Astyanax mexicanus: one gene and its partner. Each later gene encodes a partner of the first gene's protein in a complex. Links are inferred from orthologs where the notes say so. Each region holds a gene or a part of one and is shown in the gene's direction. Other genes may lie near its edges.

Region 1 (16,476 bases):
CTTATCAGAGGTCGATATTATTAATATAACGCTGGATATTCTACCCTTCTCAAACACAGACACGCGTTAAAGGTCAGCCTGGTTCCTAATGTTTACAAATACAGATGAATAAAGATCCTTTACAGACAGACGTGCTTCCTACACCTAATTCAGAGCTCTGTTTACCTAAAGAAAGCTCTCAGACACTTTCTGCACTTCACTTATTTATCTATAAAGCTCGCAGTCACTTCAGCTGACACACAACACCTCACACACGCCCCCTGAACCTTGAAACCTGGCTGCGTTCAAAATCCCACACATCTGTTACCTACCGTCCGCCGGTACTAGCTTTAGGCAGCTAGCTAGTATGACCGGTGTTCTGTCGAGCTATGCTACCCATCGATAAGTGCTTCTTCACGGCAATGCGCATGCGCCGACCAACAATTTTTTTTAGGTAATGTTTTTCCATGTTTTTCATGATAATTCCTTAAGTTTTTATTGGAAGCATTAATTATCCTGCTCGAATATAAAAAAACTGTACATAGCAGCTACAAATACCAATGTAAAGTTTAAAAATAGTAAACTATAAAAAATAAGGAATATAGTCACATATATAGCCATATCTTTTTACTTTACTTTACTTTACTTTTACTGAGATTTAGCCTATCCACATATCATACCTAGGCTTCTGCTGGGAGTATTTTCTAATATGGTGCAAAATATGGTGCTATTTTGTATTTTTACTTATTTTATTTATTAAATACTATTAAATACTATTGTGTTCATTTAACTGTAAAAATACAAACCAAGCACAATTTTACAGCATGCTCCCAGTAGAGTTCCCAGTAGATGTAGGTTAGCATATTTGAACTGTATCTGTAATGGCAACGTAACTGTAACGTTATGGCAATGAGAGGTCTTCACAAACTGCTTCTGTATTTTATTTAATATTAATTATTGTTTTTATTATTATTAATTTCCATTTACACTTTTTATGCAATGACAGTGAGTCCAGGTTGTAACAGATTTATTGTTAAAAATATTTTCAAAAACTATGAGAAATAATTAAAAAGTGTAGGTCAGCGCATGCGCAGTGCCTTTAGAAAGCACGTATCGACGGGAAGCATAACTCGACAGAACACCGGTTATAGAGAGCCTGTCCACTTTATATCAGAAATGACTGCTTACCGCTAGAGGGAGCCCGAAAGTGAGTCCTAAATGAATGGGTGCAAACGGAGCTAAACGGCTAAAATCCCAAATTAAAAACAGTAACTTAATATATAATAATATGACATTACTTTTAGAAAGTATATTGAAGTATTTCGCTAAAAACGTGTAGGGTAACAGCTAGATCATGTTTAAAAGGCTTATAACTGGAGGTTTAAACAAGAATAATGCGGCGCTATAGCATTTGCTATTGTTCTGTGTTAAAAAAGTAAATACATTTTCTATAATGAAAATATTAAACATTTATAAACTATGATTTTCGTTAGTTGCTCAATATGAATCCATTCATTTTTGACTCTCTCTGGAGCGCCTTCTGGTGGTCAAACAAACAGTGAAAAGGTTTGTAAGATTGGGTAATTTTTCTATCTACGTATAGCAAATTGGTTATTGTAAAATGTAATACTTAAGTACTGACAGTAAAAGTACAGTACTGTGATATTAGTGTAGTTATTACAGAAAGCAGTGGAAAGTTAGCCGTGATAAAGGCAGAATGAGAGCAGCAAGGTCTTCTTATAAGAACAGCTTGATCTCTTGATTTACTCAATGATAAGGAGCTTTATCAAACCCAGTGACAGTGCCGAACATATACCACTCTGGCTTTAGTAATAATGTGGATTTGGAATAATTCCTATCATTTTTATAATTATAACAAGTAACAATGCAGCACATAAAAATATATCAGAGTAAAATTCTTAAACTTATGGTAAATATGTAGTGAACTAAAAATGGAAGTAGGAGAAAAAATTATACTCCAGTAGATAAAATACAACATTTTAGTACTTCAGTACAGTAGTGAAGTAAAAATAATGCTCCAGTAGATACAGATACAGCATTTTAGTACTTAAGTACAGTAGTGAAGTAAAAATAATAATCCAGTAGATATAGATACAGCATTTTAGTACTTAAGTACAGTAATAGAGTAAAAATAATACTCAAGTAGATGCAGATACAGCATTTTACTACTTAAGCATGCTTAAAAGGCTTATAAAAAGAATTTAAAAGCTTTAAAAACAAATACTACAGTGTTAAAACACTGGACCTTGTTCTGTGTTCAAACAGTGAATACATGTTCTATTAATAAATTACTAAACAAGTATAAACTAATTTTGTTCAATTGCTCCATATGAACACATTCATTTTGAGCTTACTCAGGAACGCCCTCTGAAAGGTTCTTAAGTGGGTAATCTCCTCTCTAAAGGTTCTTTGCCATCGCAGTATTTGGATTTGGACGCAGATCTGCCTGTAGAGGCGGAGTAAACGTATCTATGCGGTAGAGCCAGAGCTGGTTTATGGAGAGCCCGTCCACTACTTAACCCTTGCCCTAATATCTATAACGACTAAAACCGCTGGAGGGAGCCCGCGAGTAAGTCCAAAATGAATGGGGGTGAAGGAGGCTAAAGGACTAAAACCTCAAATAAAATATAATATCCAACAGCCAATTATTAATTAATTGTTGGACAATAGAATAATGTATTTTGTAAAAAAAAAAAAAAAAAAAAGGCAAAGTAATCATATCTATATATTTCTACTTTTCTTCAGTAAAGGGATTTTAAGCTAGCATTACTAGTTACTGAGCTTACTGGTTGGTCAGGTTTATAAATGATGTCTTTGGTACTGACAGTCCTGTGTTGAGACACATTAGCACATTTGTTTGTATAAAATGATTAAACACTGCTGCATTCAGCGTTTCTTCACATCTCTAAACAGAAAGAATAAAATAATGCTTACTGAGCTTTATTCTGGAAGACAAAGGAGGCATCAGATTCTTTCCTCAGTTACTTAAATAAACTGGGGTTTTCAAAAAAAGTTCCTAGCACTAAGATGATTCTTAAACTTCACCCTAAGCACTATGTTAAGATGTTCTTAATGCCAAAATACTTTTGGGAAACTGGGCCCTGAAAATTAGAATATTATATAAGACCAAATGGAACTTTTGGCAGTGTGCCAAGTCCTGCTGGAAAATAAAATACATATCTCCATAAAAGTTGTCAGCAGTGGGAAGCATGAAGTGCTGTAAGATTTTCTGGGAAAACACTGTACTGACTTTAGACTTGATAATAAAACACAGTGAACCAACACCAGCAGATGACATGTCGCTCCAAACCATCACTGATCATCAGTAAATTTAGCATAATTAATTAGCATTAATTTGTAAATCAAGAGCCCAGAGGCTGGAGGAAGAATGGAGAGACACACAGTCTAAGCTGCTTGAGGTCTAGTGTGAAGTTTCCACCAATCAGTGATGGTTTGGAGAGGTCATCTGCTAGGGTTGGCCCACTGTGTTATATCAAGTCTAAAGTCAGTGCAGTGTTTTCCCAGAAAATCTTACAGCACTTTATGATTTCCTCTGCTGACAACTTCTATGGAGATGCGGATTTCATTTTCCAGCAGGATTTGGCACACTGCCAAAAGTACCAATTGGTCTTACATAATATTTTAATTTTCTGTAAGCCATGATTAACAATAAAAGAAATAAATGCTTAAAATAGATCACTTTGTGTGTAATACAACTATATAATATGTTTCACATTTAGAACTGAATTACTAAAATAAAGTAAAAATGTTTTTTAGATGCACCCGTAAATGTTTTACTTATCCTTACAAAACAAAAAGATATCACTGTCTGTGGAAGAAGTCATTTTTAGATTCATATTCAAGATTAAAAAAATGATAAACTTGCAATATAATTAGTATTATAAAAACAATGTATTGTATAGTACATTAAAAAATACAAATACTTTCAGAATACACAACAGCAATTCTTTCTTTAAAAGAGTCCATGAAATATCTTATACAAAAGTGTCTATTCCCACCTATGAGAATAACATTTTAATCAGGCTAATAGCCATTTAAACATTTTAAATGGTTTAATTTGAGCCGACACTGTAATGTATATAATATTAAGTTTACTAAAATGTCCTGTTGATTTTAGATAGAGTGAACAAGAATTACATACAACATGAAATGTACTGTAAACTTTGTACATTCAGCACTTCATTATACATTTACCATTGTGCTCTAAATTAAGCAAATAAACAGCAGCTGTGCAATAAATAGGGCAAACGGGTTTTCCATTATTTACTTTACTGCATTTAATTGTACAGAGACATAGCACACCTTAGTAAAAGTATAGACCAATTTATTTTCAACACTACACACCTTTTGTATATCCTACAAATAGCCTATGTTGTAGTTGGACATGCACCTCCCAAGAAACAGCAGAATACAGCAATTGTAATTGCTCAGCTGAACATTGTAGAGTGTTGCAGACAGACCTATGCACATGTATAAACGCTCACAACTACACAGTAGACTCTGTGCTAACTTGCAGAAGACAGAAGTATAAATCAATCATTAGAAGTTAAGATTCCTGAACTGTTTGGAACCATTTGTACTGTTCTGTTCAAGTCACCATCACCGTTCTGATTCATGCTCTTTATAGTTTTATCCTTTTCTAAGTACGCTCCTGAATTTATTCAATCTCTGTCCATACGTGTCCAATTTCTCCATTATATCAATCTCTACAGAGCAGCCTTTTTCAGATCCTGAGGCAGCACTCTGCCCTTCTTCCTGGCTCTCTGTTGCCGCTTCTCCATTTTATTGTCTTTGCGTTTCTGAATGTTCCTGCGTCTCTTGTCCTGTCTCTGCTGCATCTTCTCCAGCACATTCTCGCTCCTCTCCACCCACTTTTTCTTCCTCTGGGTCTTCATCTTCTCTTTCCTCTTCAGCGAAGCCCGTAGAAGCTGTTCATCATCTTTGATCTTCATCCCCTCAGCCTTGTAGAGAACGTTGGTCCACTTCATCTTCTCTTCTTCCTTCTTTGCTTTCCCTTCATCCTTCTCCCGCAGCTCCTCCAGACGGGCCTTCCTGGCCTCTACTCGGGTTAACAGCTGTTTGTAGTTCTTCCCTATGAGGGGAGTGAGGGTTCCTTTCACTTTCCTTTTCTTCTTCTTCTCCCTCATCTTGGTCCCTTTATCCACATAATCATCCTCAACCTCCACCTTGTTGAAGACCAAGGTGCTTGTGTCCTTCTTGTCAGATTTGGATTCAGCAGGTTCAGACTGAGGTGTGGTTATCTCCACCGGTTCGCTTTCCTCTTTTATCTCAGTGGTAGAACTCTGCGCCAACGCTTTCATACGGAACTCTTTCCTTTTCCGCTTTTTGCGCTCTCTCTCCTGTTTCCGTTTCGCTCGTCTTTTCTGCACCTCTTCTGAGGAAGGGTCCTTGGGTGGACCCTAAAGTGAGAAAATAAGAGACTTAAGAGGCTTACAATAAGCAAAAGATACAAGTTATTTATACCAGAGTACTGGAAAATTAGGGGTGTAAGAAATCCCAGTATTTTGCATTTCTATACAGTATAAATGCTCAAAACAACAGAATTTCTTCATCATTAATTAATGTAAAGAATGGAGGCAGACATTGGTTCATTTAGTGTTGTGCTTAAACCCTGCCTACTTGACAGCTGTGTTGTAGTCTGTTTTGATTGAGCAAAAAGTAAACTTTACTTTACTAAAGATAATTGAAAGCTGTTCACACTCATGATCTGCTCATATTTGGGCTGATGACATAAAAAAATGTGTAAACGCACAGCTTGTGCTTACAATCATTAATAAAACATTTCCTAATTCTGCATATTAAATCCTCTTTAATAAGGTAAATTCTAATCTGTTTGAAAAAACTAACAAAGTGAGTTTAAGCAAAACATCATCATGTCCTACAAATTCATTAGGGGGTTTGTGTGTTTATTTTGGTACCTGCCCACGAGACTCCTCAATCTTCTGATGAAGTCTTTTCCTTAAAATATCCACTGCATTAAACTCGCCTTCTGATTTTGTGCCTTGAGGAATTAAAGAAAATGTGTTAATAAAGATACTGGAATTCTGTTATGCTTCAGAAATAATTCTGGATCAATTCAAATTCACACTTTTGACTTACCATGTGTCTTCTTCTGGGCTTGATTCCCATTCTGAACTCTGGCCTGAGGAGCTTTCTGTTCTGTGATGGGCTGTTTCTGTGCTGCTTTTTGGATGGTCTTTGGGGCTGGCTTTTTATCATTTGTGTTTACATTATTTCCTTTGATCTGCTTCTGTTTCTTCTTTTGTTTCTTCTTAGGTGGCCCACTGTCACCATCTTCGTCACCACCACTACGAGCACGAAATGGAACTGAAAATAAATAACAGAGGAATGAATAATAAATTAATAATGAATAATTAATAACAGCTGGAAAATAAAGCTTGACTCTTAATTCACTTAACTGTTCTAATTTTTTTTCGTTAAATATACTCAAGAAACAACAACTGCAGACAACCTGAATGCTGTGCATTCTTCCCTTCTGTTCTACAGAAATAAAGCCAAAATTGCCTGTCTTTGCAACCAGGGTGCATTAGAAAGCAGTTAGAGAGAGCAAAGTTAGAGTCAGACCATTTTTTTCAATGGCTACCCAGTTTGTTACAAAAATGTTTTAACAGAATAAGGTATTTTTGACTTCAGCTACGACTTTAGACAGATCTCTTCCAGACAAGAATGCCAAACATTTTATTTCTTAATGTATAACCCTGTCTTCTTACAATATAGCAGGACAGTTGAGATGGAAAAACATTATAGAGGAGAAAAATTGACAACTGCCTTCTTACCACAACCAGTCTAACCTTGTTTTCTAGTCACTGTTGGAACTACATGTAAATGTTTGTTGTTACCTTGAGAGATCAAAGTTCTAAAACACTAACGTATGTATATCACAGTCAATCAAGCAAATTACATTGTGTTACAATGTCCTATTTAATAGACCAACAACATTCTTCAAAATAATTAGTAATGTTTTTTTTATATTTACTTCCATTGAATGTTAAGATTTTGAAGGTGCATGGTTTGCATAACAGTAATGATAAATTTAACAACAGCTTAATATTGCTATTAGAGATAATTATAAGTATTTTGATAGAAGCTGGATAAGTCATTTTTAAGACATTTCTTCTTAAGAATGGCTGGTGAATGAGATATGTGGAAAAAAAGATGGGAAGTCCAAAATATTTAGGTTTATGAACTTACTAATTATATAAACTAATTAAAAACAGATCATGAATCTGCATGATCAAGCTCTAAAATGTACATTTGCGGCATTTAGCTGATGCTTTTATCCAGAGCGACTTACAAGGTTATTCCTATTACAGAGGTGGGCCAATGCAGAAGTTAGGAGTCTTGTTCCAGACTCTTATTGGTGTAGAACAGCATTTAGTCACCCAGACTGGGAATTGAACCCCAGTCTCCCAGACAATGTGGTAGGTAGCTTACTGGAAGTTAGTGGTATTATGCACTGCACTGCACTAACCACTTATGACAGCCAGTGTAGCCAGTGTATGACTGCCCATAAAGCCCATAGTTCTTTAGGAAACAAAAAGGTGATTTTTCTATGGCAGTGTGTTTCCCTGCTTCCTACTAGTGATTTAAAGCAGGCACAACACACAAATATGCAGAGCTGTGAATTTTTAGAGTATATATATGACCACATACCACATACTGCAAAACAAGAATAGAAGCGTACCATAGGGTCTCTGTCTGGTCTGTTCGGTCTGGGAATGGCACACTTTTCGAGTCAGCTTCTCCAGGTAGTCGTACTTGGCTGCAAGGCTTGAGGACATCTTTGCAGCAACTGGACAAAATACACAACACAATCATGCAATCAGCCACGTGTGATCACACTTAGCTAGGTTAACATTACACGTTGAAAACAGATGACTGTATAATATTTCTTAAACACAGAGACCCTACAAAGTAAGAGCAGAGCGTTGGATTAATGTTTATTTAAGTTACTAAGATCAACTTACCTTCCACAAAGCCAAGCTCAGCTAGGTTAACTATCCCACAATATCCCACAGCAGTTACTGGCAGCTATTAAACTAGTTTCTCACTGAGGGAATAATTAGAAAGGATTTGCCACACATTTCCTCTTCTACTTCTCCTTCTTCTTTCACTCAAACGGTCGGAATTCTTAATCTGCGCTCGATCTGAACATTAAAAACAGCGTTTCTGCAACAACAACTGCTCTAACTCAACAGCTCCTCCTGCCCATGTGTTTCACACCGCGCATGCGCAACCGCACACGCCTGTCTCCGGATGGTGTTACAGTGAAACTCGTCCCCTCGCCTGCCGCTCTGTGGAGAACATGTTATGCAGGCGGTTTGACCTGTTTACTACTGACACCAAACAGATAGATATAATCCAGCATAACTCTCAGTTTAGACATTTCTCCTGAACATGAGTGGCCTTAAATACATGCTCATGTTCTGTAGTCACGCTCGCAGGATCATCCGGATTAATGTAAGTTTCTGTTTCACATTTATAAACATTATTTACTGATAATAAAACACTATTCCAGTTTAAAGACAGAGAGGCTGAAGTTTTTTTCTTATTCGCTGCTAACGTTACTACCGCTTCACTGAATTAAAGGGAACATGCACATATATTATTTAAAAGTCTAATACACTATTACTGAAGGAGATAACTAACTAATGAAGGAAAGCAGAATATCTGTTTACTAACATTGTAAATATACAACATGTCATTCAATTTAATCTTCTATACTATATGTTCCATCACTTATTCATTCCAAATAAATTTGCAATTCTAGTGTAATTAATTAATTTCCTACTACTTTAAGGAAAAGCCTGGCCAAGCAGACCAGAATAGGATGAAGCTGAAAAAAAGATGTGCAAATGATGTGGGGTTCAATTGCTGCAGTTGGTCTGCAGGTCTAGGTTCAGCAACAGTATGTGCTGAAAGAATAAGGCCAGCTGACTACCTGAATATACTGAATATAGACCAGGTTATTCCATCAATGTTTTTTTTCTTTCCTGATGACACGAGCATATTCCAAGATGAAAATGTCAGGATTCATGGGCTGGAATTGTGAAAGAGTGATTCAGGGAGCATGAGATCATCATTTTCACACATGGATTGTTCACCACAGAGTCCTTTTTTTAGTGACAACTTTTTTTTGGCCAGGCAGCGTATAATAATAATAATTATTATAAAGCTAGTTACCACTGGTGTAAGAACAGAGGGATAGAGGGATGTGAAAAATTATACCGCAGGAAAAGCACAAACTAGCTCTGGCTTGTGTTGAGATTCTGTTCAGAAATATCCTGCAGTCAGCAGTTGTTGGACAGTCTCGTTAGTTTGTGCAGGTGCTGAGTTTAGAATACCAGAAAATACTTTAATACAGTTATGCTGCTTATTGTAAATCATTTCAATAAATCATTAATGTAAATCATTTAGGCACTGAAAGTACAGTACCAGTCAAAAGCTTGGACACACCTTCTGATTCAATGTTTTCTACACTGTTGTGAACAAAAGAAGTGTTTGTCCTTCACAATCCCCTGACCTAAACCCAACTGAGCTGGAGCTTTACAGTTTGAAGGAAAAGCAGCAACTATTGTTCAGAACCAACAGAAACTCCTTCAAGATGCAGAGAAAACTGTGTGCGCAGATCTGTCCTCAAGCTGAATATGTCTACTTAGAATCGAAGAAGTATAAAACATACCCTGGTTTATTTAACACTTTTTGTTTACAAGACAATTCCATGTGTTCCTGTATAGCTTTAATGTCTTCAATATTAAATTTACAATGTAAATAAAATTATAAAATGAAAGAAAACACATCAAATGAGAAGAGGTTTGTCCACATTTTTGACTGGTACTGTATTTGTTTTATTTAGGTTTATATTGCAATCAAAAATTTAAAATGAATAAGAGTTAATTTTAGAAAATGTATTGTTTACTAGCCTGTGGGATTTGAAGACAAAGGCCAGTTAATATTGGAATCAGAATATTGCTTGCAATAATTGTTCTTCACTCATTTTAGTCAGTGTATATTATTTGCTTTTGTCAGTATTTGTAAATCAGATTGTTTTGTCTTTTTCTAGACTCAGACTGTCATTTCCAAGAGAAATATTTTCGATAAATCAAGGCAAGTCTTGCTCAAACGTGAGAATGGTAAGAATATTGTTTTATATATTATGTTTTATGAATTATTAATCTCTTGTCCTATTACTTGTAGATTTCTCTACAAACTGCTTTGTGAGCAGTTGCAAAAAGTTACTATGCAAATAAACTTCACTTGATTTGATATTGATATTATGTGCTAAAATATTTATACTCTTTGTTATGATTCTGCTGCTTCTTTTGACAAGTGTGCCATGTCTGCTAAATTAAGGTGGACAGCTTATAATTACACTTAATGTTTAAAAGCAATGAGACAATACTTCTGATTGACAGGATGAGTAGTGTATTTTACAGCATCCATATACTTGGTTTAATGCTTTTTTGTTTTGTAGTAAATGCATTTACTACTAGAGAAGAATCACCAGTGTTTCAACACATACTAAAGATTAACTGTAATATTCATGAACACTGCAGTAGCTGTCTGTTCATCTTCTGTTGGGTTTCACAGTTAAACCTGTTAACGTGAGTAGACAGACCAGTGTGGATGCGGCACAGGCAGAAAAGAGTGAGGATTCCTTGCTGAAATGGCTGCTGCTGCTGATCCCTGTGACCACCTTCGGCCTGGGAACATGGCAGGTACGCTCAGCTGCTGTTTACCATGATTAAAATGGTGGTTGCTCAGATATTTAAACTGCATTTTTGAATGTGTATTTATGTATATTTGTAGGTGAAGCGCAGGCAGTGGAAGTTGAAGTTGATTGAAGATCTCCAGAAATTAACGACAGCAGATCCGATTCCACTGCCCACGGAGTGAGTGTCCTCTTTGGCCCATGCCATACTATAGGTGTAGACAATGTAGTTGGAGAGTCAGTCACTTAGTAATAGTGCATACATTTTTTGGTACAAAGAAAGTCACATAAAAAATGATTACCTATTTTAGAATAGTCCCAGAGTGGCAGTGATGACGGATATTTGATTGTATTATTAATGTATTGATGTAGCCTGTGTTTGTTTGTGATCATGTGACAGTCCTATGGAGCTAAAGGATCTGGAGTACAGGCGTGTGAAGGTGCGTGGCAGGTTTGATCACTCTCAAGAGCTGTACATCCTGCCCCGTTCTCCAGTGGACCCTGAGAGAGAGGCCCGCGAGGCAGGAAGGCTGTCCTCCAGTGGAGAGACTGGAGCTAACGTCATCACACCTTTCAACTGCACAGACCTTGGGTGTGTACAAACACACAGACATACAGCATAAACCTGTATTGACATTTTTGCCTTAAATACATACATTTACAAGTAACACAAGTAACCCCACTAATAAACCAACATGCACAAGATTTTAAAGTCTTTGCCAGCAGTTTCAACCTAAATGTTAGCATATAGCGAGTTTAGCACAGACAGTACTTATAGGAGAAATCATAGTATTGTGCAAGTACCCAGTGATGTCTATTATAAGCAGTGATGTTAATAACCTGTTACTGTAATCTGACCATTTGTTTCAGTAACGAGTAATCTAACGCTTTGCTATTTCTTATCAGGTAATAGGATTAAAGTTACGTACCCAAGTCACTGTGCGCTACGTTTTTGTCATTTTCCTTAGTAAAAAGATATTGTAGCATCTGGCTGAATGTGTTAAAAGGATGGACGAGAAAGATTTGCAGTCGACGTTCATTGCTGGAACTAACAAAAGGCTAGCGATCTAACAAGCTAACAGGCTAAAACTAGCCCTAGTGCTGAACACAGTGTGCGCAGTGGGCGGTGTTGCCGCCGTTCTACTTCAGTTGTTCACCGACGTGTGTTTCAGAACTTTCGAATCAGACAGTTCTTCACACTCTGGCTGAAACTCCACCCTCTTTGACTAGGTCTGCCTAGCAAAAACAACAGAGCAACCTATATTCTGATTGGCTCAACAAGAGTACATTATAATATACTGGATGGATTGGCAAGCGTGAGAAATACCATGTGTGGCGTATGAGCGTGTGAACTCGCTGAGGTGCGTGTGTCACACGCTCAAAGCGCGAGACTTGAGAACACTGCTAACTGAAGTGAGGAGAGAGTTGCACGTTTTGTAGCTGGAAATACAAACACTATTCTGAGTTTATATCAGCTAAAATGAATCAATATCAAGCTTGGTTGTTCACTCTGTGCTACCTAGCTTCAAAAACACGTCAAATTTGATTAAACATTTGAAGTCGCAGCAGCACACTTACAGAAAAAGTCCCAAAGGTGGAGCAAAACGAGTTTTGGCAAAACTGATATGTTGAGGCGGCAGGGCTGTGCTTAACTTGTAAGTAGCTTAGTTAATTTATGGATTACTTGATTTTAAATGTAATTAAGTTACTTTTTAAAGGAGTAAACAGATTACTTTTTCAAAGTAACTTTGCCATCACTGATTAGAAGTGACTACATCTTTTAGGAATAAGCAAATACATCTATGACAGCATTAATCCTGCTGCAACAGATGGAGATTAAGTAATAAGGGTCAAGTCTTGAAGTCTCTTTAGGACAGACACAATAGTATATCATATAAAATGTAAATCTCATTGTTTTCCCCTCTCAGGATTAAGATCTTGGTGAACAGAGGTTATGTCCCCAAAAAGAAAATAAGTCCCGACACCCGAATGAAGGGTCAGGTAAATGCTTCTTTTTCTTATGCTGCTGAAAAGCTGGGCTTTTATACAAAGTCATCTTTTTTATTTATTTTTTTCTCCATACTTTAAATGTGTGTGCATCAGTATCAGCATTGACCTCAGCATACAGTTATTACTATACCTGCATTGGTTATAACTATTACTGTGTAATCAGGCTTTTATCTATGTCACAATTATAGACATGCATGATTTAAACTAAAAAGACACAACCACATTCTACAGTTGATATCTTTATTTAGTATATTAAGTAAAATGGCTGAAATATGCCTTCTGGCAAACCAAATGTGACAAAATATTACAATATGGTTTTATTAGTTTTTTTTTTAATAAACTATAAGATTTTCTTGCAAATATCAGATATTTGCACATCACTAATATTTAAAAATCTAATCTTTAGTTGATTATCATTAGATCAACATTGGTACTATTATATTTTATACCATTTTAGTGCATTGTTTTTACTGATGACAACAATTTTAGAAATGGCATTTTGCTTTACCTTGTGCATCATCACTTTTTATACTGGAGTGGTTTTAAATTTGTATAATAACTTTGTCTGTAAGGTGACAGAAGAGGTGGAACTGGTAGGTGTTGTTCGCTTGACGGAGCAACGGAAACCATTCGTCCCTCAGAACAATGTGGAGGCAAACCGATGGTTCTACCGTGATTTGGAGGCTATGGCTAAGGTCACTGGTGCTGAGGAAATATTTCTTGATGTTGTGCTAGGTGAGTTTTTTATTTTATTGTTATGAAATGCTGATAAATTATAAATATGTGCTGATAATAAATAAATGTGAATTTGTGATGCAGAGAGCACAATACCAGGAGGACCAATAGGAGGCCAGACAAGAGTAACCCTGCGAAACGAACACATGCAGTATATCCTTACGTGGTGAGTCAAAGCACTGACATTTTATGTGATTTAATTCCATATGTCATCATTACTTGTTCCTTTCTGACACCAGTATGAATGTATATTTCACTGATGCTCTCAATCTCCTGTCTTTTCTAGGTATGGACTTTGTACAGCTACTTCATACATGTGGTATACAAAATTCATCAAACGCATCCATATATGAAAGCAACTGAGCACTGCATCCAAAGGTTTTATGACAGATATGCAAACGTATCCCTCACAAATTGATTGAGAAGTTGGTAATGAACAGCCAAGTGATTTGTAACTACAAGTTTATGCAAATATGTAGAAAGGCTTATTTAAAATTAACACAACCATAAATGTGGAGTGTATTTTAGGTACTGTTTGCATAGCTGAACAGCGACCTGTAGTAAATGGCTGTAATAGAACAGCTCTGCTGTGCATTCTTTGGGTTGCATTTTCTACAATAAATGTTGACATTTTCCAAGCAGTCTAAAATCTTGTCCTGACAATTTAAGGGTCTGGAAAACTGCATTCATCATTTTAGTGAAATCTAGAAATGTAAAGTAAAAGATCTCTATTGTGACTTTCATATATTGCTCATTCCCCACTGTGTATGATCCGTATATGCAAAGTTTCTGTATTCTATGAACTTTACATTGTAAGTCTTAGCAGTAGCCTTAAAAGGGGGCCAGGGGATATTCTAGTGACAATAGCCATATTGTCACTAGTATATCTTGAGCTTGCGGTTTATTACTTCTACCTTGAGAGAAAAAAAAAAAGTATTAGTAAAGCAAATTATGAAAATGTATGTAATGTACATTACTTGATCAGTAACTCCCAAAAGAGAAATCACATGGTAGTTCACTTATACCAATTTACTGCATAGCTTTATACTGTACTAATGTGCAAAATATAATATAATATAAATATAAATTAACCCAATAAAGCTTCCTGTTTAACAGAATATGGCCCATCATGTGGGATTTGATTCTTAAATTAAAATCAGAAGCTTCTAACATAGTTCCAACAAATATGCAATTAAAGTTCACAATCTGTTAAATCTCATCCCACCCAGTAAAGAGGCATAAAACAAAATTTAGGGTTTTTATTATTTATTTTTTTACATAAACAGACGTGTGGTAGGAGTTTAGCCCAGCTTGGCAGCCAGCTCCTTGGCCTTTGTCTTCTCCAGCTTAGCAAAGCGAGCAGTAGACTTGGGACCCATGATGTTGCCTCCCCAGTGGCGACGGATCTACAAGAAAAGAGCATTAGAATTAGAAATTACTAAAAGCACACAAAAGTAAATACCATTTTAGAGTGACAATAGTGCCATCTTTGAAAAAGATGGAACAGTTCAGAAGTACAATATTGAAGAGTTAACTGACCTCCTCATATCTGTCATTGTAGTTGGTCTTGATGGCCTCCACCAGTTTGGCGAGAGCAGCTCTGTCCTCACTAGAAAGTAAAGAAAACCATTAATTTCAGATCCTTTGGTGTTCAAACACAACAACCAAAAGAAAACCTCTTTGCTCAGGGTTAAAAAGCTCATTTGAAACCACATGGTTGTTCAGGTGAAGAAATTCAGACATCATTGCAGAGAGGAGGCTGTTTGTTCACTCTATACATGGACTTCATTAAAAAACAACAGTACTCACGGGTTGGTCTGTGTGAAGCAGACACTGGTGCATGTCTTCCTGTGCACCAGTCTTCCCAGCCTGGCCTTGCCCTTGATGATGCAGTAAGGGACACCCATCTTGCGGCAAAGAGCAGGGAGGAACACCACCAGCTAAAAAAGGAGGAAAAAATAAAATAAAAGAATTAGATAGATGCCAACCCAAAGCAATTCGCCACCTTTTACCTCCAACATGTAAAATCTAATCTGCTTCAAATCATGCAATAATATTGTGGCTGTTGCTCAGGGTTAAAATGTTGTGTCTTCATATATTTCAGGTGAAGAAATTCAAAAGCATCATAGCAGACAACCACATGATTAACAGCTAAACAGACAACCTAGATTAACAATAAAATGTTCCTGGACCTTTCAACAAAAAAAAAAAATGGCACACTCACCTCAATTGGGTCCACATCGTGTGCGATCACAACCAGCTGGGCCTTCTTGCTCTCGACCAGTGAGGTCACAGAGTTCACACCTGGCAGAAAAAAAACAATCAAAATCAGTAGATGCATAATTTAGAAACATACATTAAAAAGACAAAATAAGTAAATATTAGGTGAACACACATCAATTTCCAGGACAATCACTGGGTAGCCAGCATGGTAAGGAAAGTGTCACAATGCAGCTCCGACACATTAGCTAAAAGACCGCTGCTTTAACCACCACACTAGGAGTGATGTGGAGAAAGAGTGCCATCTACCCATCCCTATTTATATAGCTGAATGCTTTTTGGTCATTTGATCAGTGCATCCTTAGTTCTGATCAGTGTTACTGTGGAAACATAGCTCTTGCTCAGGTTTAAAAAGCTCGAATTTTGATCCACACAAAATTTCAGGTGAAGAAATTCAACACATCATTGCAAGAACATCCACAGTAAACATGTGAGAAGGCTTTCCCTAAGAAACCTTCTTAAGCTACGCTTTACATGGAAAATATCAATTATGTTGACTATAAGACAAGCAGTGCCCTGGCACATCGTGACCAGTTAGCCAGGTTACCAGCTATAGTTAATTGCTCACTTGGCCTACCAACTTAGATAGCATTACTTTCAGACACCAAATTCACATCTTACTGGCATGTAAACTGCATTCTTAATTTGGAATAGAAGTATATTCTAAATGCTCCAGC
Region 2 (16,089 bases), on another chromosome or scaffold:
GCTGCATCCCATCACACGTGCTCCACTAGATCAGGACAGCTAGATCCAGTGATTAGCAGGGTGTGTTGTTAATGTAAATTACTGTAAGTGGGGAACAACAGATACAGGACACATTTTAACCCTTTGAGGCACAGTGGTCAGTGTAAGAAACCTTGTTATTTCTCACTTAGGAAAAGAAAGGAAATCTCTACATTTCCTTAAACTTTTGACTGGTTTATTAGAACAGAAAATGTAGCACACAAGAAGTAATGTAAGAACTGTAGATTTTCTGCATGGCTTACCCAAGCTTTCCAACCGGCTTCTTGTAGAAACCACTTCAGAAAGTACCTTTTACCCTTCACCTAAAAATCCCAACACAAATCTGTTTTAGTTTAATAGTTTTATTATACTTTAATTGGTTTATATCAGTAAATCTGTGTGCCTGAGGGGGTTAAAGTCAAGTGTAAACAGGGCTAGTTTCTAGTTTCTGGATATGGTAAGTGGATGTATGGGAAGGTTAGAGAATTATAGATGGTTAGATCTATTTTATTCTTCTGTAAGGAATAACTTTACTTACATTAGCCGTACAGCTGTGAGGGTCTGAGCATCATGCCAACAAAGAACACACATGCTCCAAGCCTGAGCATTATGCCAGACATACCGTATGTTGTATTTAAGGTACAATTTGAACAATGTTCATTTGCATTTTCACTTTCTATATCTAATTTTTGAAAGATTTGTGAAGGTTTCTGGTTCAGCATTTGACCTGGTTAACAATGATGTCTAATCCAAAGTCCAGAGATTTACATGATGAAGTCTGAGAAATTGATAAATTGTTTACAAAGCTAGTGAAACATTCCCTTTCATCCATTAATGTGACAAAGCTCCTCATGTTTAAATTAAGGCTTTACAGGTTTTGACACTATTTATTTAGCATTTTCTTGTATTATTATTATTATTTAGAGTAAGCAGATTGCATGACATTTTTGGGGTTTTGCAAATAATGTGACAGTAGTAGCATACTTGACAACCTCCAGCTACTTCCTTAGCATTGGCGTGGTTAAACAGCTGAGTTTTATTTAGCTAAATATTATGTGTAGACTAAACATTTTGTTGACAAGTATGACTCAACCTGGGGTTAACTGCATATGCAAAATGATTGAGAAATAAAGTTTAAGAAAAAAGAAATCACTGAGAGCAGTGTATTTATTGATGATTACGTAGACAACAGGTGGACAATATGCCAGAAAGAGGTACTTTAGAAAAAAAAAAATCCAATATATATATTAATATTTATGGGAAAGTACTTTATTCTAATGAATGAATTATTCTAGTTTTAATGATCAACAGAAACAGCTTTTTTGCCAAACTTTGCTGTTTCCAAATTTGCCTTAGTTATTCACTGTGTAGTGCCCTATTTTGTGGTTTTGGCATTTTTTTAGTGATGTCCTGAATGTAGTACTGAATTTTCAGTGCACTGAAATAATCCCATCTTGCATCGTAATATAGATTGTACAAATTGTTCAAATGTGGTATACTGGATGTGAATAGGGCAGTTTTTCGATTTAGCTTCAGTGTTTTGAATTCTCAGATGGTAATCATCATTAACAATAATAAGGTGGGAGAATTTTTTTATTTATGATGCATCTCGAGTTGGATGTGGACGATTCTGAATTGATTCACAAATGCCAAAAAACGATTCAGACCTGCCAACATAAACAGGATTTGATCTTGCATTTCTCTCATGTCATCGAAGATCTGATCAAACACAGATCAGCCTCAACATTAAAACCAGCTCCATACAGTATATACGTTTCTCTAGTCAGCCATAACATTATCATCTATTGTTTTCTGCTCTCCTTGTAGCTGGTTTTAAATTTGTGGCTGAAGCTTATTTTTGTATTATTTGATTAATTAAAAAAAACTATGCTTTTTTCTCAAGCAAATAGAAATAGTGTCAACGAGCCTATAAAATAGCAGAATTCATTATGGAGTTACAGATACTTTAATAGGACCAGTTAGTCATGTAATGAGGAAAAAGAAGAAAAAGATGCATTAAAATGAATTCATAATTATTTTATAATCACATCACAGACCTCCGAATCACAGATATTCCAACCCCTAACAATATTCATTTGAGAAACTGGAATCGACATTTTTTTTATAATTCTATCAAAACAGAACAAATTATTTTTGTTTAGTATTTGATCAATATTTAATTATGTTTTCTTTGTTAATTAATGTACCTGGTCAGAAATCTTTATATACTTACACTCAAAAAACAACAAACTTTGTATCTCCGAATTGGCACTTTACAGCAGAAGGAGAACTTTGAATAGTTGGAGAAAAATGGAGATAAAAGGTTGAAATCTAGTCAAATATCTTAGCCCTGAGTGAGAGTGTAAGGGTGTGATAAGAATAAGAACCATGCAACCATTTTTTTTTTAGGAAACAATTTAATACATCAGTGTTTATTATTCACATCATGCACATCCACATTCAAACTCCTTCATCACCAAAAATCAGACCAAGTTAAATAGAAACTATGTATTTGGGGGTTTGGTGGGTGGTGGGAACAGAAGACCATGACCATGTAAGGGAGATGTTTGCCGACTTTTGTGAGGTCTTTGAAAGCGCTCAGCTCAGTTCTTTAGAGTAATAATCACTGCAGTTCATCCATCACTAGTCGACAGCACTCGCCTACTTTAGCCGGGTCAGACACGCCGGCGTACTTTGTGATCTGAGAGTTGACGCCCAGCGAGCGTGCCAGGTCTTTGGCTGTGCTGTCTCCAGCCACTGTAGTCCCGAGTGCAACCAGCAGCCTGAAGACAGCCTCCTTGTCCTGCACCACCTCTAGAGCACTACTAGCAACAGACAAGCACTGGGCTTTGGCTTCGATCTCGGACGGTCGGCCGTGCAGTATACCCGCGTAGTTGAGCACCAGCGTGGCGAGAGCTACGTGGATGTTTTTGTTGCAGACAGAACGGAGGTCGGCTGCCCGGGACAGCACGGCTTCACGTTGGCTCAGGAGGAGAGAGCGACCGTGGGATCCAGAGAAGCAGTTGCAGAAGGTGCGGAGGGCCAGCATTTGGTTAGCTGGTCGGCCCTGAGGTGACATGAGGCCCAGCAGGAGGTTGCATAGACTGGCTCCCTCTGTACCTCCACAAAGCTGAGCGTTGACCTCAGGGTGCCGCACTGCTAGGCGGAGGATGTCCAGCACAGGGAAAACAATATCTGTGGACAGTTACAACATAAAATTTAGTAATTAAATATCACACAGTCCACGCACACTATTGCTTTGTGTCTGAGCTCTACCTTCAGGCCAGTGGCTGGTCCTCCAGAGTATGCTGATCTGATCTGCTGTGGGCTGATCTGGGCTCTTACAGTCTGAAATGGAGAGCAGTAGCTTTTCCAGGTTGCTCAGCACCGTGTCGTTTAGTCTGTGGTCCTCTGGAGCACTGCCATTCAGCTCACGCAGCTTAGCTAATGTGAATGCACACAAGGTATTAAGAACACGGGACAAACTTCAGACAATGCAGAAATGTAACATTTAAGACTGTACAAATATTGCTACACTTTATTAAATTTGTTTAAGGAGTAGTTTCCCCAGACAGAGCTTAAGTTTAGGCTTGGACTAAGCAGCATTTTAAACTAAAAGGAAAAAAATAGGAAAAATTATGGTCAATGACTAGACTTAACCCCTGCTTGTGAAACTGACCTTATGTACAAAAGCTTGTTACGTTATAATTACTCATATATTATATATATTTATTTATTAATTATTTATTCATTAGCTTTGGGGTTTTTGTTTTATTTTTAGTAGTTTTTTTCAATCAATACCAAATCACCAATACATGTGGAAGGAGTTGCAGATGAAGTGGAGTGGACATCATATAACACCCTGGCCTTACAAAAGATCTTGTTGCTGAATGCAATCAAGTTCTCACAGCAAGGCTCCAGAATCTATAGTATCTATAGGAAGCCTTTTTTAGACTTTAATAATATTATCCTTGATTTTAGAAGGAACAATAAATGAGCAGTGCAAATTATAATTATTTAAAAAATAAATTATGCATTTAATTCATGCTAATTGAGTAGGGGTCACTAGACTTACCGAAAATCTGTGTAGGATTGGCCTGCTCAAAAAAAACGCCATCCATCTTGGGGAAGTAAATATTTGTGACAGACTTCTGGAGAGCAGCAGAAGAGTAGGCGTTTCTACCTAACGGAGATACACACAGGAAACATATCAATTTGTGTTTTATGTAAATGAGTAGGTGAGTAACTTTATCTCAGTGTGTACATTGTGGTATGTGGTTATACCTGTAAAGGGATCAGCTACACCTGCAGGTGTTGTTCCTGTGGATCCTGATCCAGGTATGTATCGCCCAGCACCTACCAAAGTTTTTAGCACATTTAATCACAATACACTGTTTTAATTTGGATGATGGAGTATGATCACTGTGTATCCTTACCAGTAAAGGGGTCAGCACCAAAGCCTGGTCTTTCATCTGCTGCCCCAGGGATATACCTTCCTGAACCTGGAAAGGATATAGAAGAAGTTAAAAGTGAAGTTCAACTACAAACATCTACAGAAACCATCAAAATCCTTCCAGTCTAAGACAAGATTATTGACCTTATTTACACCTGATACAACAGATGTGAGATAGACTAACTGGAGATGCATTTGGATGCCAAGCATGATCATTTTTAGCATGTTACTAAAATCTTATCAAGATACAATGCAGATACCAGTCTCAATAAGTGACCATATGTAAATGGGGTCAATACCACTAGGCTACTTGCCTGTAAAAGGATCTACAGCAGAGGCAGGAGCTGGCCCTAGGGTGTGGCCTTTGGTGTTCTCAATGATGAAATTAGCCACTTGGTCCAGAAACATGGGGTTCAGATCATTCTTTTGTAGGAAGTTGTGTGCTGCCAGCCAGGGGTCATCAGCCACATTATATGGCAGTTTCATTGAGGGCCCACCCTCATTCACATCGATGGTAAAAACAAAATCGTATTCCTGAAGAGTAACAGTGAAAGGTATTAATGTGCATGTTTAAAGCATTTTATGCAGTTTAGTCTGTTTTTATTGTAAAACACAATTTGAACACTAAACACCCAACTGGTGTTAAAAATGGTGTTGGGGAAAAACTGTCTTTTTCTGCGTTACATTTTTTTCATGTTTACCCAAGATTGGAGTAAAATTAATTATATTGGGTAGATCTACTCCGTGGTGTTTTCTTTTGAATCAAGCAGCAAAAAAAAAGCTGTTACACTGAATTAACTTGTATTACATGACATTACACATCCTGCGATATCACTAGTGTGTGTATCCACTTTGCATAGATGTTGTTGAAAAGATATATTGATATATTGTGCACTCCTTGTATGCGCTACTTTAAATAGGCTTCAGCATGGTTTCTTACCTTGCCCTCATACATTACTCTTTTAGAGCTGTCCTTGGATGACCCTCCCACCACGTCTCCAATCTTCATCCAGCGTCCCTCACTCATGCTCCACTGGTACGCCTCCACGTTATTACCTTCCTTTATGAGTCGTGTTTGACCATCTCTATTGCCTATGCGCAAAAACACAAACACAACATATAAGTCAACTGCTCAAGAGATTCACAGAATAATGTAATGTATAGGCAGGTTTTCAAATGTCAACACTCTACTGAGCTTCAATACCTAATAATTTTGGAAAATCAAACCCTTAACAGGCCAGAATTTTTGTCAATTTTCTGCATAACAATACACCCCTAAATCCTGAACGTTTGATAAGGAACATTACTGAAAATTATAATTGTAATTGTAATAGAATGTATAATATTTAAGTAAATCTGCAACTGTCAAAATATAATGAATAAAATCCTAAAATTTGCTCTTTCCTGAAATCAATACTTTCCTGTAGGAGATTTCAAAATCCTCAAATTTTCAGAATGTAAATAAGTTTTTTTTTTTTTTTTTTTTTTTTTTTACTGCAGAGTTTTGTATCACCTACACCTGTAGCCCGGGTAAAGGCATGTTCATAGGTTGAGTTCTAAAGTCCATAGAATTTTTTCATTTATGCATGGTATTTGCAGAAGGCACAAAATCTGCTGATTGCAAGTCTAACACAACATGTGGGAAGCTTTCAAATGTTTAAATGTTTTTCTTAAACACCAGGACAGGGTTTAAAAGATTCCAGTCTTTTTTTACCTGGTTCATCTAAGTGTTCTCTTCCAGGTAGTTCCTCAGGCTTGATATCTCCCAAATCTCCAGTCTTGGGATCAATAGTAGCTTTAGAAAGTTCATCTTCGAAAGCCTGCAGGTCTTGAGCACTCGCTACACGCTCATCTTTCTCAGTGAACACACGGATGATGCCATCACTGTGAACAGTTCGCAAATCAATGTAATTAATAAGTGTCTACACTAGTTTTCAATAATAATCAACTGTCTGAAATGTTTGAGTACAGCTGATTTTGTAAGTGAAAACACAATGTAGATCATTTGTGTACCTGGCTCCTACAGCGATGTCTCCATTAGGTAAAACACAGCAACACCAGACTGACTGGGTAGGTAGACGGATTGTCTGAGCACATTCACCATTTTTCCAGATCCTTACTGTGCGGTCCTCTCCTGTGCTTACGAAGTCTGAGAGAGAGAGAGAGAGAGAGAGAGAGAGAGAGAAGAAGCTTTGTCATGAATTCATATTTTAATACAATTATTTACTAATCATTCAAATTAACTGACAGTTAGAGATGTCCCTGATCCAATCATGTGATCGGAAATCAGGATCGATAACATAATTTCAAAGGGTCGGAATTGAGTGAAAAAGTTCCGGATGACTGATGTATCAGATTTCTGAGTGGGTGTACCCTTCAGGCGGAGTGATTAGGACGCTGGTAGGCTAGGAAAGCGGGTATGTGATGTGTATCACCTGTTTTCGAGTATGCTAGCATGAACACTAAGCCAGCAAACTTATCGATCCATCAACTATTTTTTATCCACGTTTCATTCTCCTCTTATTTTTCCTAGTACAATATAAGACTTTCACAAACACATTTTTGTAATAAAATGGTATTTTTGGATACAGTTTCAATAACAATTGCAAATACAATTTATTAAATAGACCTTAACGGACCACTTGGATGTGTTTTTTTGTTTTGTTTTGTTTTTTTACTGCATTTCTAAAGTATTGGATCGTGACTCGGCAGATACTCTAAATGTTATTAGGGATTAGGAAAGTCATTTGACTTTTTATTATTTTTCTAATAACAAGTGCCACTGTCCATTTGTAAATGTAAATATAAGACTATAAAACTATATTATTTTCGCCATTGTTCACATTACTCTCTTTAGAAAAAAACTCTATTAAACAAAAAACTACTATAAGTACTAAAATCCTCACCTTGTCCATTTGGAAAGACAGACAGACTGTAGATATAGTTAGTGTGACTGTAGTATACTTGAACACATTCTCCTGTCACCATCCATCGCCTGATGCTGGCGTCATTACTACAGGACAGGAATTCAACATCGCTCACTACAGCTAGTCCTCGAACACAGTCCTCATGACCTGCAACAATAAAAAATAAATAAAACACACACAATCAACTCAACACTGACCTCTTGTGGTTCGTGTAAAAAACGAAACTGAATCTGATCATTTAAAAAGAAAAGCACACAGTCTAGCTCAGAAGAAATGAAAATGTAAATGTCTATGAGGCTCACCTGAATATGTTCTCTCACAGCGTCCAGCTTTCCAGAGTTTAACAGTCTTGTCAGCCGATCCTGTGAGCATAAGTCCCTGCTCTGGCAGAATCACCACAGCCCATACTGCTGCTGTATGCCCCTACATACAGAAACAAAAGCAGACACACCCATACATTACACACACGCATATTAAAATAGCTCAGGACAAAGAATTCCCAAGCAAACAGAATTCAAAAACAAATAATTCTTCAGTTCTTAAGGCAGAATTACCTGTAAAGTCATCATACACTTGTCACTGAGCCAGACTTTAGCTGTGGTGTCCCATGATCCACTCAATAACGTCCCAAACTTCCCAGCTGAGAGTGTGCACACTGTGGACAGCAGGATTAGAAACTTGGAATGAATAAGTGGCCATAAAGGTTTTGGTCACTCTATAAATATATTATTTTTAATCCATTATTTAAAAAAGAAAAATCAAATAATCACAGCCTTGACTCTTCTTGATGATAAGATGAGAAGGACTGTACTTATGTGTATTATAAAGCACTACACCTGTGTTTTTGTGTCCTGTCAGAGTAAACATAGGGTCCGGTCTGTCTAAGGAGAAGACGCAGATAATGTTGTCATTGCCTCCTGTTGCAATAAGGCCCCTGGGGTAGGTTTCATTGGGGGCGATGATGCAGACACAGGAAACGAAGTTCGTGTGGCCGTTCATACAGTGCATCTCCGTGTAACCTCTAGTTTCACTACAGAATAAGAAAATACAAAGCAACCAAGACACGTTTTCAATTATAGCTTGTGAACACCTGCAACATGCTCGCTGCTCAAAGTAAACACTCCACTAACAACAGCGAGAGACAGTATTAATAGATATAGAGTCAGTAAGCCGATGAGCATGCACATGCACATTCCAAATCTACTGTGACATTTCACAAATATGCCACGTACATAACTAACAGCAAAATCTAAAACTGAAACCTCAGACATCCCTTCTGTTTTAAGTGTCATTGTAGTTTTTTTTTTTAATAAAATAAATTGCTCAAGGCTTCTACAGACGTTTTAGGGTAGGTCTGTCACAATTAACTACTTTTGATTGGATGGTATATAGTCCCAAAAAGTACTGTGACAAATATAGCTGGACAATATACTGATATTTTTTTATATTATGATCAGTTTTTTAAACCATATTGAGGATATCATCAGTACAACATTTTATTACAGAGAGTATAAAAAATCCTGTTTAATTGGATGATGTGCAGCAAAATAAAATAAGAATCACTATACTCTGTGTTTCAAAATATTAATACTGTACATCATATATAAAAATATAATATTATTACCATATCACCCAGCTCTATCAGTGCATGATCATTTACCAAAATATAAGAACTTTTATATCAGAGCCCAGCCTCTTTATTAACAATATTATTTAATCAATTAATCTAAGCTAGGCCTGTCACGATAATTATATAATCGATTTATTGTATAGTAAATACCTGAACAATATTTGATTACTGTGATATTGTCTATTGTGTGGCTTGTATGTTTGTTCACATATAGGTCATAACAGTGAACAGTGTTTTAGCCAGTCATGCAATGAGCAATGTTTTAATAACTGTGACTCCCTACACTTAGTGTGGACTACAGTAGGTAAAGTATATAGTTATCAATCAATGATTAATTAGAAATTGGTTGTCTTTAAAATTGTAACATTATAATTTATTAGTTAAGCTATTCTGTTATCATTATGTCAGTGGCATTTAAATGTTCTAAAATTGAGAATAATACCGTTTATCGCAACAATTTCAGGAACGATATATCGTTCACAAAATAGTATCATAGTGGAAGGAGTAACGTAAGCTAGTTAAACCATGGTTACAGTGTTGAGAGCTGCCCGGCCGGCCGCTCTGGTTGCTATAAACACTGTTAGCGAGGCTAGCTGGGCTCTGTTGTTAGCTGTAGCCTGCCGGCTAAACCGGCTACCTTAAATTTGGAGCCCAGACTCTGGCGCTTCGGTCCCGCGACACGGAGACGAAACCTCCCTCAGGGAAAACCGCGGCGGCAAGGCCCCTAACATCCATCTCATGGCCCGGGATGGAGCAGCTGAGCCGGTAGGTGCTGGGAGAGGCCATGGTGTAAATTCAGAGCTCCGCTAAATCAGCACGATAAAAAACAAAACTCATTCAGCCCCGGAACTGAGAGAGCACGAGCGGCCCCGTCCAGCAGAGAGGGAGAGACACTACAAAATAAAAGACCCCGGCAGCAGAGACCGAGAGACACTCTACAAAAGAAAAGACCTCCGCAGCAGAGATGTAGAGACACTACAACATAAAAGTCCCCTGTACTAAAATATTTGATATTGTTCTGTGATGAGGAAATAAGTACAATTTTTAGTATAAAAAAGATTCAACGTTTATAAACTATCAATTTGCTCAGTAGCTCTATATGAACCAATTTCATTGTTGACTCTGGGAGCGCCCTCCGATGGTGTATTACAACCTATTCTTCTTTTTAGAAATAACATGTTAATTTAACAATACCATTGTTTTTACAAGATATTTTTAAATAATTATGTTTTTGTTTTTTTATTTATTTATTTTTTTTTTAGGTTTAAGTCCAATCAGAACGCATACTAAAATAAATAGCTGCTAATGCAGTTACTGGCAATGAATGGGTTAATTTCCGAGTGCTGAACTTGACCCGGATAGAGTTAGGTTAGCTAAGCTAGCTACCTGTCTGTTCTGTCTTTCTCAAGGTCCAGACATGTCGAGAAACCTGAGAATAACACTCATATTCGGGGGCTTCGTAACCGCAGTGACTGCAGCTTTTTACCCGATATTCTTCCACCCTCTTTCTCACAAAGAGGAGTACAGTGAGTTAATCAGCGTTTCTAGTTTGCTGTGAATAACTAGTTTGCCAGTGATGTTAAATAACGTTAGCTAACTGCTCTCACCCTTTAATAACCAACTGTCATATAACCGTATGTCAATATATTAAAAGGTTCTTAATTAGAAAGATAGATTCCCTACCGCTAATTATATAGAAACATGTATGACTATAACTAAGAACTCTTATTTTATCTAGTTAGCTACATTTTATTGTATTTTATTTTATGGCGTGGCCAGTAACAATGTAAGCTAAGTAAATATGTACATATAAATGTATTTTTGTTGGGAACTTTATTTAAACAATATCTATCAATCCACAGTACAATTCAAAAGTTTGGACACAGAAAATCGATTTTTGTTTTCAGTGAATCGATACAGAATCGTCCATGTCCGAATCGAGATGCATTTAAGAATTGAAAATTTCCCCAGCCCCCAATTTGTTTATTACTTGTATTATTTACTACATTGTAGATTAGTATTAAAGACTCAAAAACAATGTGGAACTCTATATGCAGTTAGGTAGAAGATAAAAAAGGGGTTCTGCCTTCACAAACACCTGACATAAAAAATCCATCCCAGGTGGTTTGGGAAGAGATGGAGCTAATAGTAACGGAAAAGCAGTTAATAAGAGCTTAGTACCTCTAGGAACTTATTTATTCCAGGTTCTACCTCATAAAACGCCTGAAAGAATAATGTGAAGACATTCTACTTTTAAGAATCTAAAGTATAAAACATATATGATATTTTGGGTTGTTTAACACTTTTTTGTTTACTTTCCTATGCGTTCCTTTATAGTATTGATTTCTTTATTAGTAATCTACAATTTAGATAATAATAAAAAATAATAATAAAAAAAAACATTAAATGAGAAGGGGGTGTGTCAAAACGTTTGAGTGGTACTGTATGTCAGGCTTGTTTATTAATCCTAACCCAGCATTGCAGTGATATGAACCTTTGCAAACCTTTGTGAGGTCGACCTCAACCACTCTGTCTAATGTTAAATCCTAAACTTCTACAGGGGAGATCCAGAAAATCAACCGAGCTGGAATCAATCAAGCAGATATTCAGCCTGCTGGTATGTCTGGTTCTTCTGCAGTAAACATTCAAGTACTGTATTATGTGTAGCTAAAGCTAAAAGCTTAGGAAACATACAGATGGAGAAACAGTATGTATGGCATGTGTCTTTTCATGCTTTGCGATTTCTCTATTTTAAGGAGTGAAGGTCTGGTCAGATCCATTCAAACCGAAGTCATGATGTGATGCAAGGCAGTAGCAGAAACAGATGGGAAAAGAGATTCATGAACATAAAGACATCATTGCAAATGTCTGGGACATTATGCACTTCTCACTTCAGTGTGACTGAATGAACCATTTAACATGCAAGCGAGTGAAAGAAGCTTATTCCCTGGAAGACTCCTAATTTTCCCTGTTTAGTTTTCTTGGCTGTAACACGTTAACACTCATTCAGTCTTTGATAGCTGGCCTGTGTATTACAGGAAAAATGGTACAATTCTGGAGTAAGGCCATCATCTGGAAAAAGTTACATTGGGGGAAAAAATCAGTAATATGTAATACCTGCCACAATATTGTGTCATTCATTGTCATATGTTGTAATGTATAGAATGATTTATTCCTGAATGAAATAAAATGTGATTTTTGGAACTATCTAGTATGTTTGTGTTTGTAATGAAGCATGCTGAGCTCTAGGGGGAGCACAAAGCCTTGTAGATCCAATAGGTCACGTTCAGTCAGAGTGACTTATTCATGAGATACAGTGTAGCATTATATGAATGGTTTCCATTGCAAATGATATGAAGATATGGGAAATTTAAAATGTTTTTCTATTTAATATTTTGTTTATTAATAATATTAATAACCCAACATTCCAACAGGCCATTTAACATTATTTGCAGCATATTTATTTATTATTTAGAGCATAGCTAAGTAGCTTTCAAACACAACACTGAAAGATGGGATAGGTGTGGTGACTAAGCTCCAGGGAAACAGATGTGATGGGTGCTGTGAGGATGTCAGAAGAGACACTAATCAAGAGCTAATCTACAAGCACAGAAGCACAGATGTGTTTAGAGGATTAACCTTACCAACTGAAGCTTAATAATTAAACGATTTCTCTGGGTTACGATGTTATGGTGTTGGCTTCTTCTTTTACGGACATTTTAAATGGAGGATTTTAATGTAAATTGTATATTGTAAATATACAATAATTGTGTAATGCCATTAATCTTCACATTTATATCTGTATGCTTATTAGAAACACACTCAATATGGCTCAGATACGTTTTTTTCAAGGCTGTGTAAATGTGCCAAATCCGTTTTTTTTTTTTTCTCAAATCAAATTTGAGTCATTTTCAAATGTGGTCCTAAATCGGATACGTATCCGATCCATGCACATGCGACATGAATGTGAACGGTCAAATCGGTATTAATGCCCCTTTTTGCTTTTACACTGCGCTACGTGCTTCTCTCTCGTACCCACACATCTCTTGGTTCAGCTGTGCAGCCATAGCTGCAAAAACAGCAAAAGCAAACCGCCTGGCCTTTTTTCTCCACCTTGAACTGAGCATGTACTTCAGACCAGCTGTTTACTCTCCACTCCAGCAAAAGTTGCTCCACATATGAGCTGCTAACGGATCCATTACACCTTTATTAAGCTACGGTTCGTCTCTCTAATATGCCGTTTTTTGTTGATGTGCACATGTGAAGCGTTTCAGGTATAGATTTATTCACATTACACACAGATACAGGTCACTTACATTTGTCAATGGGAACTGTCAAGAATCGGACAAAAAATCGTATTCGAGCAATGTCGCTTATAATGTAAACGTAGCCTTAGTTCATCCATGACATAACACATATTCAGAGCACTGGGCAGCCACCTCAGTTAAGTTCCTCAGCCATGATTTTTTTTCTTCCTTAGACCAATTTTGGTATATTCTTACTGTAAAATTTGAACTGCTTATTCTTTACCTCTTTAATTATCGCTGTTGTTGTAATGTTTGTCAGTAAATACTGCTTCACCAAAGGTTCTAACACAAAGAAAACACACATGGCAGCCTCTTTGTTGTCACACAGAATAAGATAGATGGTCTACATCAGAAATCTTAAAAACAACACCTCAAACCTGGTTAGTTGTGGATTAATCAGTAAAAAAAATCTTCTTTGCAAAGCATCGAAACATCTGGATTCTTCTCAGTTGTGTACATGACTTGAACTCCATGATGCTTTTGCACTCGTCTCAGTTTTCCTTCTGTTTCCTGCTGCTGCACCTTGATTAAATTTCTACTATTATTTTGGCAGCAGGTCCTGGAAGAGTCTTCTGGCAACAGAAAGTTGCGAAACAAAATCTGTAACCTGAGAGAAGCACACGAGGGCCGAAGTGCCGCTCCAGGGCCGAAGTCCCGTTGCTATGGAAACCAGTCTGCACCCACACCTGTGTGGCGGTGTAGCCGAGGGCCTGGCCCACTCGAGTACAAGTGCTGCCTGAGTGTGGGCATGTACAGTAACTGTACACACTGCTCGCCAGAAGTTTATAAGCACTAAGCTTTTCAGAAATATTGTTAGAAATAAGTGTGTTCTCCTAATCCAGATGTTTTCAATGTAAATGATCTTAATTTTAAAATGTTTTAACCTATTTCAGACCCACATTTATATCTAAGATGTTAGAAAAAGCTGTAGCCCAGCAACCTTGCTCTTACCTGCAAAATAATCCCATCTATGAAAAATTATTTAGGCCTCATCAAAGCACTGAGACAGTTTCCTGTTAAGATAATAAATGTTTGATTGCTTCTTGCCCCTGATCAAGACTTTGTCTCTCTACTGGTGTTGTTTGACCTGAGTAAATACTTTGATACAATAGACCACACCATCCCCCAAGATTAGAGAACATGGTGTGAGTCATTGGAACAGCTTTAACATCCTTTAAATCATATTTAACTGAAAAGGTTCATAATATTTAAAATTCCACAAGGCTCTATCTTAGGACCGTTACTGTTTATATTATATATGCGCCTACTGGGAAAAGTCATTAGAAAACATTCTTATAGCATACATTTTTATTGTCATGCAGGTGATATGCAGCTCTATATATCGGCTGTGAGTGTATTTTTCTAATGCAGATATGTTTTCAATCAAAGTTTATGTTAACATATTAAGGTTATGTGTGCATGTTATTGAATAATGTTGTCAGTAGCACTCAAACCCTTTAGCTGTTATATGATTTAACAAATATTTTTAGCAGACATTTGGAGCCAGTGACAGTAGAAAAATATAGACCGCACAGCATTTCTCAAAAATAAAGCTGCCACAGGTTTAGCATCTCTGCTGGCTAATTGCTGTGTAAGACTTATCTTAGCCCCACAGGTTTTATCATGACTTTTTTTTTTTTTTCATTTTTTAACATCACTGGTCTTTAGCTCCAACAGTTAACCCTGTGCTGTTTCGCTTAGTTCTGAGACATTCTTGTATTGAGTAGAAGAATCCTGGCTCTGCCTCTGGTCTTTACTGCATAGACAGTTATTGTAAATTCGACAAATGGTGGACAATTTTGGCTTCATTTTATTGCATGGAAGAAATGGTACCATGGGTTTCAGTCGTCATTGTTTAGAACAGGAAACTGGCATGTACTCAAAGTATTGGCAAAGTATTTTTATATAAAAATCTTTGCGGATTTGTTTTCACTTTTTCTCCTTACTAATTTAGCAGGAATTGTGAGAAAAACCTAAATAAAAACACGCAAACGTGTATGGAATACATGTATGAGTGTGAGAACTGAGCTGTGTTTTTTTAACAATCAGTAATACAAAAAGTGTTGACATCTGGATTTTATATAGTTATTTTACAAGGATCGTATCATACAAATTTACAAGAATTGTGTAATGTGTAATGCCATTTATCATCACATTTATATTCATATGCATACTAGAAACACACTTTCCAGCCAATGCACAACAAGCTGTACAACAGAACTTACATCTCCCCATTTAGCCCAGCCAGAAAACGTGTATCCAGAGCACTGAGCAGAGACCTCAGTTGGGCACCTCAGTTATGAATGTTGAAGGATGCAACAAAAATTCTGTTCTTCACTTCCTCTACTTCCAGCTCCTGACAGTCCAGTGCATCAAACTGGCAACCTTCTGTTCCCAAGTTTGAGTCTTTAACCTTTAGGCTATGGCCTAAACCAACCAGTGAAATACAGTTGTGCATAAAGGTTGTTCATAGCATACCAGAAACCCCTCACCTGTGTAGACCTGTGTAGTCTTCTAGTTGTCAAAGATGCTCAGATTCTTTACATACAGAAAAGGGTTACAGTGTGTAAACATTTACATGTTAAAGTTCTGACACATAGCTGCAGAATGTCCTGCACCTATAGCTGAACTATAAGTTTTCCTTATATTACTACTAGGGGTAACTGACTGTTGTAAGTGATGGCCTTGTAGCCAGTGTTGGGAAGGTTACTTTTAAAATGTAATCCCTTACAGATTACTGATTACATCACTCAA

What was found.
Region 2: surfeit locus protein 1 (region 1) and smim20 share a complex: the UniProt entries of both Homo sapiens proteins name them as parts of the MITRAC (mitochondrial translation regulation assembly intermediate of cytochrome c oxidase complex) complex. The link is inferred for Astyanax mexicanus from reciprocal best matches to the Homo sapiens genes SURF1 and SMIM20.

What each region holds. Positions count from the first base shown.
Region 1 is NC_064408.1:16,893,074-16,909,549, reverse strand, and holds surfeit locus protein 1, read left to right. Parts: upstream 1-8,333; 5' UTR 8,334-8,460; coding exon 8,461-8,523; intron 8,524-10,126; coding exon 10,127-10,196; intron 10,197-10,653; coding exon 10,654-10,781; intron 10,782-10,872; coding exon 10,873-10,955; intron 10,956-11,174; coding exon 11,175-11,366; intron 11,367-12,702; coding exon 12,703-12,775; intron 12,776-13,356; coding exon 13,357-13,519; intron 13,520-13,603; coding exon 13,604-13,685; intron 13,686-13,805; coding exon 13,806-13,872; 3' UTR 13,873-14,157; downstream 14,158-16,476. Other genes in the region: surf6 (surfeit locus protein 6), read right to left, coding at 4,728-5,441, 5,961-6,043, 6,142-6,369, 7,748-7,844; rpl7a (60S ribosomal protein L7a), read right to left, coding at 14,821-14,925, 15,059-15,128, 15,329-15,459, 15,744-15,823. UniProt on the Homo sapiens protein: Component of the MITRAC (mitochondrial translation regulation assembly intermediate of cytochrome c oxidase complex) complex, that regulates cytochrome c oxidase assembly.
Region 2 is NC_064415.1:23,369,864-23,385,952, reverse strand, and holds smim20 (small integral membrane protein 20), read left to right. Parts: upstream 1-10,383; 5' UTR 10,384-10,445; coding exon 10,446-10,554; intron 10,555-11,588; coding exon 11,589-11,645; intron 11,646-11,784; coding exon 11,785-11,825; 3' UTR 11,826-12,232; downstream 12,233-16,089. Other genes in the region: plaa (phospholipase A-2-activating protein), read right to left, coding at 2,642-3,213, 3,295-3,462, 4,094-4,201, 4,303-4,374, 4,455-4,520, 4,786-5,005, 5,412-5,563, 6,186-6,355 and 6 more.